Xenopus tropicalis: one gene and its partners. The protein of the gene in region 2 binds, or shares a complex with, the protein of the main gene of each other region. Links are inferred from orthologs where the notes say so. Each region holds a gene or a part of one and is shown on either strand. Other genes may lie near its edges.

Region 1 (3,704 bases), on a different chromosome or scaffold from region 2:
GGAATTTCAATCCTGCAAACTAATACATACTAATAATTGCCAATGCACAAATTATGGCCTATGTAAAATATTAAATTAATATTGAAAAATTAGCACCACACATCCCCCAAAATATTTAAGTTTACTTGTCACACTAAGGCCCCTCATTATATGTGAGTTCTTCACTGCCTTATTTTATTGTAAAACCATGTTCTCTTACCCTTAGCACAGGAACACTAGTGAGACTAGTAGGGAAGGACCCCACCTAACATAACTATACACCTATGAATGAAGACTATATAAATAGCAAACAAATCTTAACATGTATGACCACCTTAACAAAATTAACTGAAATAGCTTAAGGCCATGGTACTAAATATAATTCAAGATGATGACAGATGTGCTACTTGTTCCATATTATTGCTAAATCATTTATAATTTAGATGACTAGATTAATGTTTACAAACTGTCCAGTAAATTAGTACAACAGATCACACAGAATATTGGAGAATATTGCCTTGAGCTCCACACACTGGGAAATCTGCGGGTGCACATCAAGGCTCTTTGCTGTCCAAGAAGGCAGATCTGATGCTTCCAACCCCTTATGTTTCCATCACCTGTACATACATTTTCTTCTCTCAGACTGGGTATTGGTCAGCGGAGATTGCAGTTGCATGTAAATGGAGAAAGCTATTGGGAATTCTCCATGTAAAATTACAGGAGTATTTTTTGCCACCCCTGGAAAAGGAGAGACTTCTCACCTTGCCTTATGGCAAAAGGACCCATGGAAACTTGTGTCCACTGGATGCAGTTTAGAGGATTTGTACCCGGTTTTTAACTGAATCTGAATCCTTGAAATACAGGGCTGGTGGCAACCCTACAGCACAACAATACTTAAATGCAAAGAATTTCACTGGACTATAATAATTATAATTGATTTTTTTGTGCAAGACATAAGTACACTATATATATATATGTTTGTGTTTATATATACTATGGGGCACATTTACTAACCCACGAACGGGCCGAATGCGTCCGATTGCGTTTTTTTCGTAATGATCGGTAATTTTGCGATTTTTTCGTATTTTACGATTTTTTCGTAAAAACGCGAGTTTTTCTTAGCCATTACGAAAGTTGCACAAAGTCGCGATTTTTTCGTAGCGTTAAAACTTGCGCGAAACGTCGCGCCTTTTAAGTTTTAACGCTACGAAAAAGGCGCGACTTTGCGCAACTTTCGTAATGGCTACGAAAAACTCGCGTTTTTACGCAAAAATCGTAAAGACGCTGAAAAAATCGAAAAAAATACGAAAAAATCACAAAATTACCGAAAAAGTCGCAAAAAAAATGTTCATTTCCAATCGGAATTTTTCCAATTTGGATTCGAAATCGTGTCTTAGTAAATCAGCCCCTATATGTATAACACAGAAGTGCCATGAATATCATATAATTATATCCTTAAAAATTATGCTTAGTGATGGCATCAGTTATAACGATGCTTAATGATGTAATTTCTGACACATGGCTCACTGAAACTTGTGTATTTATAATAACTAAATGTATCCACTGTTGTAAAATAAGAGGATATAAGAACTCATGGTCACGAAACTCCTCTGTGGAATGGCTATCCTTATATTTTAAAAAAGAGGGTACATTATTCACTATATATATGTGTGTGTGTGTGTTAAGCAATATTATAGTAAAAATCAGACAGTGAAAAATGTTGCATTGTATTAATAAAAATAGTTTGGACACCAATCTAGTGCTCATTTATGAACAAAAGTGCAATGCTCTAGGAACAAAAATGTATATGCCAGTATAATAGTTGGCACTCAAAGAACAGCATGCTCTTCAGCTTGTGATTTACCACGGCAGGTTTATATTAGAAAACATTTGGATTCGGTTCAGCCAGGAGTGTGGATTTGGCCGAATCTTGGCTGAATCCCTAACTGAATCCTGGATTTGGTGCATCCCTAGAAATTAGTTTTGTGTGTTGATGTAACATGTAAAGAAGTCCTAAAAGTAACACCTCCTCAACTTCTGTATAGTTGCGCCAAGCACCACTGTGTCATTCCTCATCCTGCTTATTGTGATGAACCAAAGTGCAATAGAATTGTGACAAAAGAACTAAACACTAACGTAATTTTAATGCTGACTCTCGGAAGTGATGCAATCCTAACTCTTAAAAAATGTTAGCTGCACTGCTCAATTCTGTTTGTTTTGACACAGCATGTGCAAGTTGCTGTGTGCCCACAATTAAGTTTGAATTAAAAAACATGGTGATTTGCATCAAAAACTGCACGCTGAACTTAAGGTTGTAAATGACCTCTTACATTTCAATCCATTGCAAAGTAGTTTTGCAGCATTGCATAGTTAGGAGCCATTCAACCCTGCTCTGTATGCTTATCATAAGATATCCTATATCTGATTACCTTTCGTTGCAAACTGATTATTTTCTGATTCTGTCTCTCATTAGATGCAGGTATCCAGTCAGGCCTAGAGCAACACTGAAGAGCCTGAGGATAGTGGAGACATAGCAACTGCAGGGGCTGCCCATGATAACGATGCCATCTTCCTTTTCCACATGCTGCCTTTCCAAATACGCAACTCTATAACATACTGTATTTTAAACAGCAAATATCAGCAAGTGGCCCTTACCTGCAATGAATCCTGTTCAGCAGAACAACAAAGTGATATTCACTGAGAAATGCTTACCCAGCAGGAAGACACTTTAAGATCCTGCCCACAAACCTTGCCCAGCCGATTCAGAGAGAATTGTATACAAAAGGTTGCTAGGTTTCTGTAATGGTAACAAAAGATGTATAACAACAAGGTACCGGTAAATCTCTGAGAAGAGACAAAAACAAGAAATTTGTTAATGCAAATCACCTTAATAAAAAGAACAAAACAAAACATATTAAAGATTCAGAGTCTGAACTTAAAGGTAATCTATACCCGTAAAATGTTTTTTGTATAATGAAATAAAAAACATCTCTATGCTATCCTACACTCCCAGCTTTCCATTATGTGTGTATAAGGTATTTATAGTAGAAATATCATTTTCAGTAGCAATGACATTTACAAATAACTTTAAGGGTTCTGGCACACGGGGAGATTAGGGCGACTAATCTCCCCATGTGCCAGAGCCCTAAGACCGCTGAACATTTGAAATGTAATGTATAATGTAAAATTGCTTTAAATTAAATCTTCTTAAATTATGCTAAATGTTTTTGGGTTTAGATCCTCTCTGGGTAAAGACACGTGGAGCTATTTAGTAGCAGCTACTTGTGACGGCTACTAAACCCCAGAAAATACCCTGCCAAAGACAATACTGAGAATTGCCTCTGCTAAACCACACTTAGGGGCACATTTACTAATCCACGAACGTCCGAATGCGTTTTTCCGTAATGATCGGTATTTTCTGCGAATTGTCAAGACTTTTTCGTCGCCGTCACAACTTTTTCACAAATTGTCGTGACTATTTCGTCGCCGTCGCGAAAAAATCGGATTGGTTCAATACGTATTGCTCAATACAAAAAAACCGCGATGGCGACTAAAAAGTCGCACAAAATATGATAGCCGTGACGGCGACGAAAAAATCACGCAAAATACGAAAAAAAAACGCGATGGCGATGAAAAAGTTGCAAGATTTTCATTTCCAATTCGATTTTTTCCCATTCGGGATTCGGATTTGTGGATTAGTAAATGTGTCCCTTAGAGACAATTAT
Region 2 (3,658 bases):
ATGTTCTGTAAGAAATTAAGACATCTCAAAATCCTATCAAGAACTGTACAAGATTAGTTTAGAGAGGATATAGCAGAAGCTTTTAGGGTAGTAGATCAGTAATGACTAAGTACTTTACAGGTACCTTCTCAAAGCGGGCCTGGATCAGGTTTGCCTTTTCTATCAACCTTTGTTTCATATCACTCAGGCAATCTTCTTTCACTTTTTGTGCTTGCCAGAGTGTCAGCTTCTCAGGATCTCCCAACTGAGCAAGGAATGGAGCCAAGTAGTCAAGTTCCTGCACAGCACGGCGCTGACGTTCTTCTTGTATAGCTCTCTCCTGGGGATGAACAATAAACATATGATCAGCCACAGTCCTAACTACTAGACCCAACATGGGTTATGTATACAGTATGTTCCACAGATTTATCTAGTGCATATTTGACATTAATGGAACTACGTGATAACAGCACACAAAGATATTAATACAAAGGGTTTTGGACTCATATTCAATATGGGCCAAATATGTGCTGCTACTACAAGGTATCTTAAAATGCATTTTGCATAACATTTTTAAATATACTGCTTATTCCCTAAGCAGTTAGGTTATGTGTAATTTCCTAATTTTCTGCACCACAGAGTATCCAGTTCTTTAATAAAGTTGCAAGCTTGCAGTATAAGGAATACATAAGGAGACTGACTTTGATATATGGACTGATATGCTGGAATGTTAGGAATGAATTAGCCTGCAAAGGTCTACAGTGCAAGTAGCATTAATGAAATGCAATGCGATCATTTATCTTCTGTTGTCTTCATCCTGGAACCCCTCACCCCCCATGCCTGCTTGGGCCACATGGCAGACCTCCTTTAGATTGTGTCTGACTTTAAGTCACACGTGCTTTCTACACTAAATAGACTCTTACACTAGCAAACACATACATTTTGGTGGGCTTTTTCACACTTACAGTACACACACACATTCCACAATTTGACAAGTGTACAGATATATGCAGTTTTTTTAACCTTGATTTTTTTTTTCATTTTATGAACCATCACCAGCACACCCTGGCCTTTCCACTGATATTTCACCTGGTGCTCAGTAATAGTTCAACACATTCCAAAGTAGTATTAAAATTGCAAAAATGCTAGCACAACAGGGCTGTTTCAGCAGGATAAACCTGTAAGTTTATTTAGGGCAAACCATGTGTATACAAAATTTTAATATTTACACATGGTTTGCACTGAATAAACAAAATACTGTTGTGCCAGTAATTTTGATACTGCAAGGGATTTTATTGCATATTCAGTTCCTGCTTGTTTGTGCTATTAAAGCTCAATTTTTGCATAGTCTGTCCAAAGCACATTGTTCCATAAGTCCTGGTCTTTGTCCTAGGTGTTTATGGGCATTCTTTATTATTGTAATTTTCATGTGCGCACTCGGATCTCTAAAGTTACTAATGATGTCTGGTGCACAGCCCCTGGGGAGACGGCACTCCCCTACCCAAGAAAAACAAAATAGGTACTGGCATTTAAGGCAATGCAAATGGGGGACTAGACCCTTGTGTTTAATCAAGTAACACAACGTTTCTGGGGCATGCCCCTTCTTTAGTATTGCTCTGATGTTCTTTCTACAGTCACTCAAAGGATAGAGAATTCTACAAATTAACAGCTCTGAATGTTAGAAACCTTTTACGAAACCTCCCTTATCTTGAGACACTTCCTCTGAAAGCATGAATTGATTAATTAAGCATAAATGAGTTTATTGTATTTATACATAGTCCCTGCTTAAGCACCTCTTCTCCAATGTAAACATCCCAACTTGGGTAGCCTTTTTTTTATAACTGAGACCTTTCATATCCTTTAGAACTTTAGCTGCCCTTCTTTGAACTGTCTCTATATCTATATCTTTCTGAGCACTGGAGAGCAAAACTACAATGCACAAAACCCTAAAAATGAATATGGCTACAAATACCACATTTTATATACTGTACTTGTTGCACCAGCCTAAAGTTTCAGTTTCACAGGAGCTCCCCATCTTGGAAAGTGTCTGCGACACTCACATGCTCTGTGTTCTCTGAGCAGCTTTTGAGAAGCTAAGCTTAGGGGTTGTCTGTCATATAAGCTGATGCTACAGGGCTGATTATTACATTCTGATGCTAGTTGCACTGGTTTCTAAGCTGCCATGTAATAAATATCTGAATTAATTACTAATCAGCCTTATATTGTGACATTTATATTCTATATATACAGTATATCCCTAAGCTCAGTAACTGACAGCCGCACAGAGCATGTGCAGAGAATCAGCAGACATAGATCTTTCCTGCTAAAGGGCTGTGGTTGCCTTGGGCAGGTTCAGAACCAAACATAATGTACAAAATTTCTAGCCTACTTTTTTAGTTAAACTTTAGTTCTCTGTTAAGGGTATACAAAGTATATTTTAGATTTATAGGTGCATAACCTTACATTTATCAACACTGAATCTCATCTGCCAAAGATGCCAGTTTGTTCATATCCTCATATTTAGCTCTTACAATGCACTACCCAAGTTATTAATGAAGTATAATTAAAGTAGACCCAAAAAACCTAGTAAGAGATTGTGACTGTATCAAAAGCTTTGACAAAACCCAAGTAGATCAGACATGCTACAACCCTGCTATCTAAGTTCCCTTAGTAAATCATACAAAACAAGTATGTGTGTTTGACATGATCTGCCCTTTATAAAACCATGCAAATGATTACTTATGATGCTATTATCCAAAAAATGATCTCTAAACAAACTTTCAAGTCAAGGAAATCATAATACTTTTTTAAATACTGGAATCACATCAGCTTTCCTTTATTCCATTGTTATAATACCAGCTGAAAGGAAGAATGAGAACATCCAAAAAAGTGACCTGGATAAAACTGGACCAAGCTCTAAAATTGCTTTTATTTGCTCTTTTAGTGTAAACAAAATATTTTGTAACTCGGATTCCAAAATGAGGACCAAACACTTCCTGGAATGGAATTTAAAGAATGCATACATGTGCTGAGACACACATTGAGTGGCACCAAGACACCCACTAAAACTCCTGAAACCAGTTATTATTGCTGTAAAGCAAGTGTAGTTCCTACCTTGTATAATGTGTCTTGTTAGTTTTTAACAAGATTCACCTGAACCACAACTCTATCTGAGACAATTCCCTAACTCTAATTTGTAATATAAAACTGAATGTTGGTGCTGGCAGGCTTTTTGGGGAACAATTGCATTAGGAAGATGGCATTTCATCTGAAATCACATAATCTCTTTCTCCTTATTAACCCCTACAATGTTGCAGCATACATAGCTTCAAATTATATAAAGCTCAGCAAGACTGTAACTTTAATATTTCTATTATATACTTAGAAGTTTCTTTCAGGCCCACCTCTTGTTTTGTTTAAGCTAGCAAAACTGTTTTGTTGAGACCGCACATTCTCACCATGGCTTCTCTTTTTTCCTTGCTTTTCTCATTTCTTTCTGTGTCATAGATTGATATTGTAAGCTGAGGGTCTGCCTCCTCCTGGGCTCGGGTAGCCAGTATCTCACGTACCTGGCAATAATGGAGTACAAAGTCATATATATCATAAAGATATGATTTTGTTTAACATTATCATCAAAGTACACTTTTTATATTAAATAAATATTGGTTATGGCAACTCC
Region 3 (3,658 bases), on a different chromosome or scaffold from region 2:
CGCGATTTCGGGAAATCAACGAAAAAGACTCGCGAGGCTTTCTCGGCGATTTGTGCGAAATCGCGCCGCCGCGTGCAACTTACATTGTCGCCGGTGGGATGGCAGGGGAAGGCAACTCAGGGAGATTAGTCGCCCGCGAACAGGGAGTTTTGTCGCGGGCGACTAATCTCCCCGTGTGCCAGAGCCCTTATGGGGCTTTGGCAGCAGTAAAACTTAATCCAAACAAGTAGCTGACTTGGATTTTTTACTTGTGCTCTGATAATCTTCTTTACTGCTGTGCTGCAAAATTGGAGTGATATTACACCCCCTATCTTCCCCCCAGCAGCTGATCAGCAGAACAATCGGTAGCTGCTATCTTGCTACCTTCTGATCATCACCTGCTGGGAAAAGGAAAGGGGGGGGAGTGATATCACTCCAACTTGCAGCACAGCAGTAAAGTGTGACTGAAAATTATCAGAACACATGTCACATGGCTGTGGCACCCTGGGAAATGAAAAACATGACTAGCCCCATGTGAAATTTAAAACTTAAATATAAAAAAAATCTGTTTGTGCTTTTAAAAACTGATTCAATGCAGGATTCTTCTGAAGAAGCTCTGTTAAAGGAGAAGGAAAAACAAAGTCACTTGGGGGTGCCAAAATGTTAGGCACCCCCAATTGACTTAAACCGCTTACCTTGTACCCTGGGCTGGTGCCCTTGTTCGGAGAGAACAGCACCAGCCCGGGGGTAGCTGCAGCGCTTCCTCCTTCCGTCTTCTAACGCACGCGCAATAGAGTGAAAAGCTGAACTTTAACAGAGAAGTCGGCTTTTCACTCTACTGCACATGCGCCTTTCCTTAGTCCTTCCAAAAGAGAAGGCGGAAGGAGGAAGAGCTGTGCTACAGGTACCCCAGGCTGGTGCTGTTTTCTCCTAACAGGGGCACCATCTCGGGGTACAAGGTAAGCGATTTAAGTCACTTGGGGGTGCCTAACATTTTGGCACCCCCAAGTGACTTAGCCATTCCTTGTCCTTTAACTGATGCGTTTTAAAAGAAAAATGTTTTCCCATGACAGTATTCCTTTAATGAAAAACTTGTATTTATACTGTGTCTAGAATATGCTGCAGTTTGAAGCACTAGCTCATACAGGTTTGCCTGCCATCTACTGATGTTTCATTTATAATTACGGCAAGAAAGCCTTGTTTGACCAGGAATTGTGTAGTTTTGTTCTTTCTGTTTAATGAGCTAAAACGTCTCATAAATTCAGCAATCTGCTTTTTAACTTGTTTATTAATGACCTATGGTGGGCATAGAGAGTACTGTTTCTATTTTTGCTGATGACACTAAATTGTGCAAAACTATAAGTTCCATGCAGGATACTGCCGCTTTGCAGAGCGATTTGACAAAATTAGATAACTGGGCAGCAAACTGGAAAATGAGGTTCAATGTTGATAAGTGCAAAGTTATGCACTTTGGTAGAAATAATATAAACGCAAACTATCTACTGAATGGTAGTGTGTTGGGGGTTTCCTTAATGGAGAAGGATCTAGGGGTTTTTGTTGATAACAAGTTGTCTAATGCCAGGCAGTGTCATTCTGTGGCTACTAAAGCAAATAAAGTGCTGTCTTGTATAAAAAAGGGCATTGACTCAAGGGATGAGAACATAATTTTGCCCCTTTATAGGTCCCTGGTAAGGCCTCACCTTGAGTATGCGGTGCAGTTTTGGGCTCCAGTCCTTAAGAAGGATATTAATGAGCTGGAGAGAGTGCAAAGACGTGCAACTAAACTGGTTAAGGGGATGGAAGATTTAAACTATGAGGTTAGACTGTCGAGGTTGGGGTTGTTTTCTCTGGAAAAGAGGCGCTTGCGAGGGGACATGATTACTCTGTACAAGTACATTAGAGGGGATTATAGGCAGTTGGGGGATGTTCTTTTTTCCCATAAAAACAATCAACGCACCAGAGGTCACCCCTTTAGATTAGAGGAAAGGAGCTTCCATTTGAAGCAGCGTAGGTGGTTTTTCACGGTGAGGGCAGTGAGGTTATGGAATGCCCTTCCTAGTGATGTGGTAATGGCAGATTCTGTTAATGCCTTTAAGAGGGGCCTGGATGAGTTCTTGATCAATCAGAATATCCAAGGCTATTGTGATACTAATATCTACAGTTAGTACTAGTGGTTGTATTTATAGTTTATGTATGTGAGTGTATAGATTGGTAGGTGTGGGTTGGGTGTGCTGGGTTTACTTGGATGGGTTGAACTTGATGGACACTGGTCTTTTTTCAACCCTATGTAACTATGTAACTATGTAACTATGTAATCTGCTGCCTCCTTATCAGGAGTGGAAGGCAGCATAAGAGGATTTGGCTTTTTTTGCCATCAGAAATAAGCAACTGATATGCTATTAGCATTAGAGATAACATTTATCAACTTGTAATCTAAACTAAACCTGAAGGTAAAATGCATACCAAAGGGTTTATGTAAGAAAAGGCACAAAGTTTGTCAGGGAGCAATAACCCATAGCAACCAATCAGCAGGAAGCATTTACTGGTCATCTGTTGTTTGTTAAAGCAAACATCTTATTGGTTGCTATGAGTTACTGCACCTGGGCAAACTTATTGCCTTTTATTACATAAGGGGGTATAAGAATAATAAAAAGGTGTTTTAGGAGTAGTTACATAGTAACATAGTAAGTTGGGTTGAAAAAAGACATACGTCCATCACGTTCACCTTGTATTCATAATATGTATGTTCATTATCATGTTAAGCAGTAGGTTCTGCTGTACCAACATTTTCCATATATCTTGGGATATTAATGGAAAAATAAGGAAAGAAAATATTTGTGCTAACATACCTGGTCTGTAATATTTGTCCCAGACAGATCTATGGAAATAAGTGAGGCCATGTTTCCTAGTAGCTCAAAGCCAGAATCTGTCAAATTTTCACAGTAGCGAAGACTTAGGTAGGTTAAATTATGACACCTAAAATAAAAATAGGAATACAGAAAACATTTAAAATCTGAATCCAGTAAAAAATATAATCAATAAAGGAACTCTATAAATACGACTGCAGTATAGTAACTGACAACATAGTAACTTTCACAACAACAGCCAGAATGTAAGCTGATGTAAACAAGATTCACTGTTATATGTACACTCTGGGTGCTTAAGCTATAAAAACGTAAAATACCCCTGTATATATTAATCATTATTCATGTAGCTAAGGTTTAGCATAAGGAATACTGATTGATGATTTATGATACATATATAAATCTCAGATCAGTTTAGATACCTTGAATATAATTATGGGTCTTTAGGAAACGTTTGGAAGGAAGGGGAGAGTCTGATGGGACAAGGCATAGAGACAGGCAGAAGCCCGGAAGAAGTCTTGCAGTTGGGAATGGGATGAGAGGAGAAGAGAGGCGAAGGTCAGAGGCAGAAAGTTGCGTGAAGGAGTGTATTGTGGTATTAGAGCTAAGATATAGGGAGGAGCATCAATAGTAAGGGCCTTATATGTAAGTGTTAGTAATTTGTATTCGATTCTAGAGGAGATTGGGAGGCAGCAAAAAGATATGCATCAGTGAGTGACAGATGTGGAACAGTGAGATAGATGAAGTCTGGCAGCAGCATTTAGAGTCAGGCAGCAGCGTTTGCCAGTTTAGTTGCACATCCATGCATTCATTCC

What was found.
Region 1: drc7 (region 2) and ccdc153 share a complex: the UniProt entries of both Homo sapiens proteins name them as parts of the nexin-dynein regulatory complex. The link is inferred for Xenopus tropicalis from reciprocal best matches to the Homo sapiens genes DRC7 and DRC12.
Region 3: drc7 (region 2) and fbxl13 share a complex: the UniProt entries of both Homo sapiens proteins name them as parts of the nexin-dynein regulatory complex. The link is inferred for Xenopus tropicalis from reciprocal best matches to the Homo sapiens genes DRC7 and FBXL13.

Annotation. Positions count from the first base shown.
Region 1 is NC_030683.2:80,326,813-80,330,516, reverse strand, and holds the start of ccdc153 (coiled-coil domain-containing protein 153), read right to left. Parts: upstream 2,824-3,704; 5' UTR 2,635-2,823; intron 2,585-2,634; exon of another isoform or gene 2,409-2,584; intron 1-2,408. UniProt on the Homo sapiens protein: Component of the nexin-dynein regulatory complex (N-DRC), a key regulator of ciliary/flagellar motility which maintains the alignment and integrity of the distal axoneme and regulates microtubule sliding in motile axonemes.
Region 2 is NC_030680.2:76,083,195-76,086,852, forward strand, and holds part of drc7 (dynein regulatory complex subunit 7), read right to left. Parts: intron 3,549-3,658; coding exon 3,438-3,548; intron 320-3,437; coding exon 125-319; intron 1-124. UniProt on the Homo sapiens protein: Component of the nexin-dynein regulatory complex (N-DRC) a key regulator of ciliary/flagellar motility which maintains the alignment and integrity of the distal axoneme and regulates microtubule sliding in motile axonemes.
Region 3 is NC_030679.2:78,014,397-78,018,054, reverse strand, and holds part of fbxl13 (dynein regulatory complex subunit 6), read right to left. Parts: intron 2,956-3,658; coding exon 2,829-2,955; intron 1-2,828. UniProt on the Homo sapiens protein: Substrate-recognition component of the SCF (SKP1-CUL1-F-box protein)-type E3 ubiquitin ligase complex.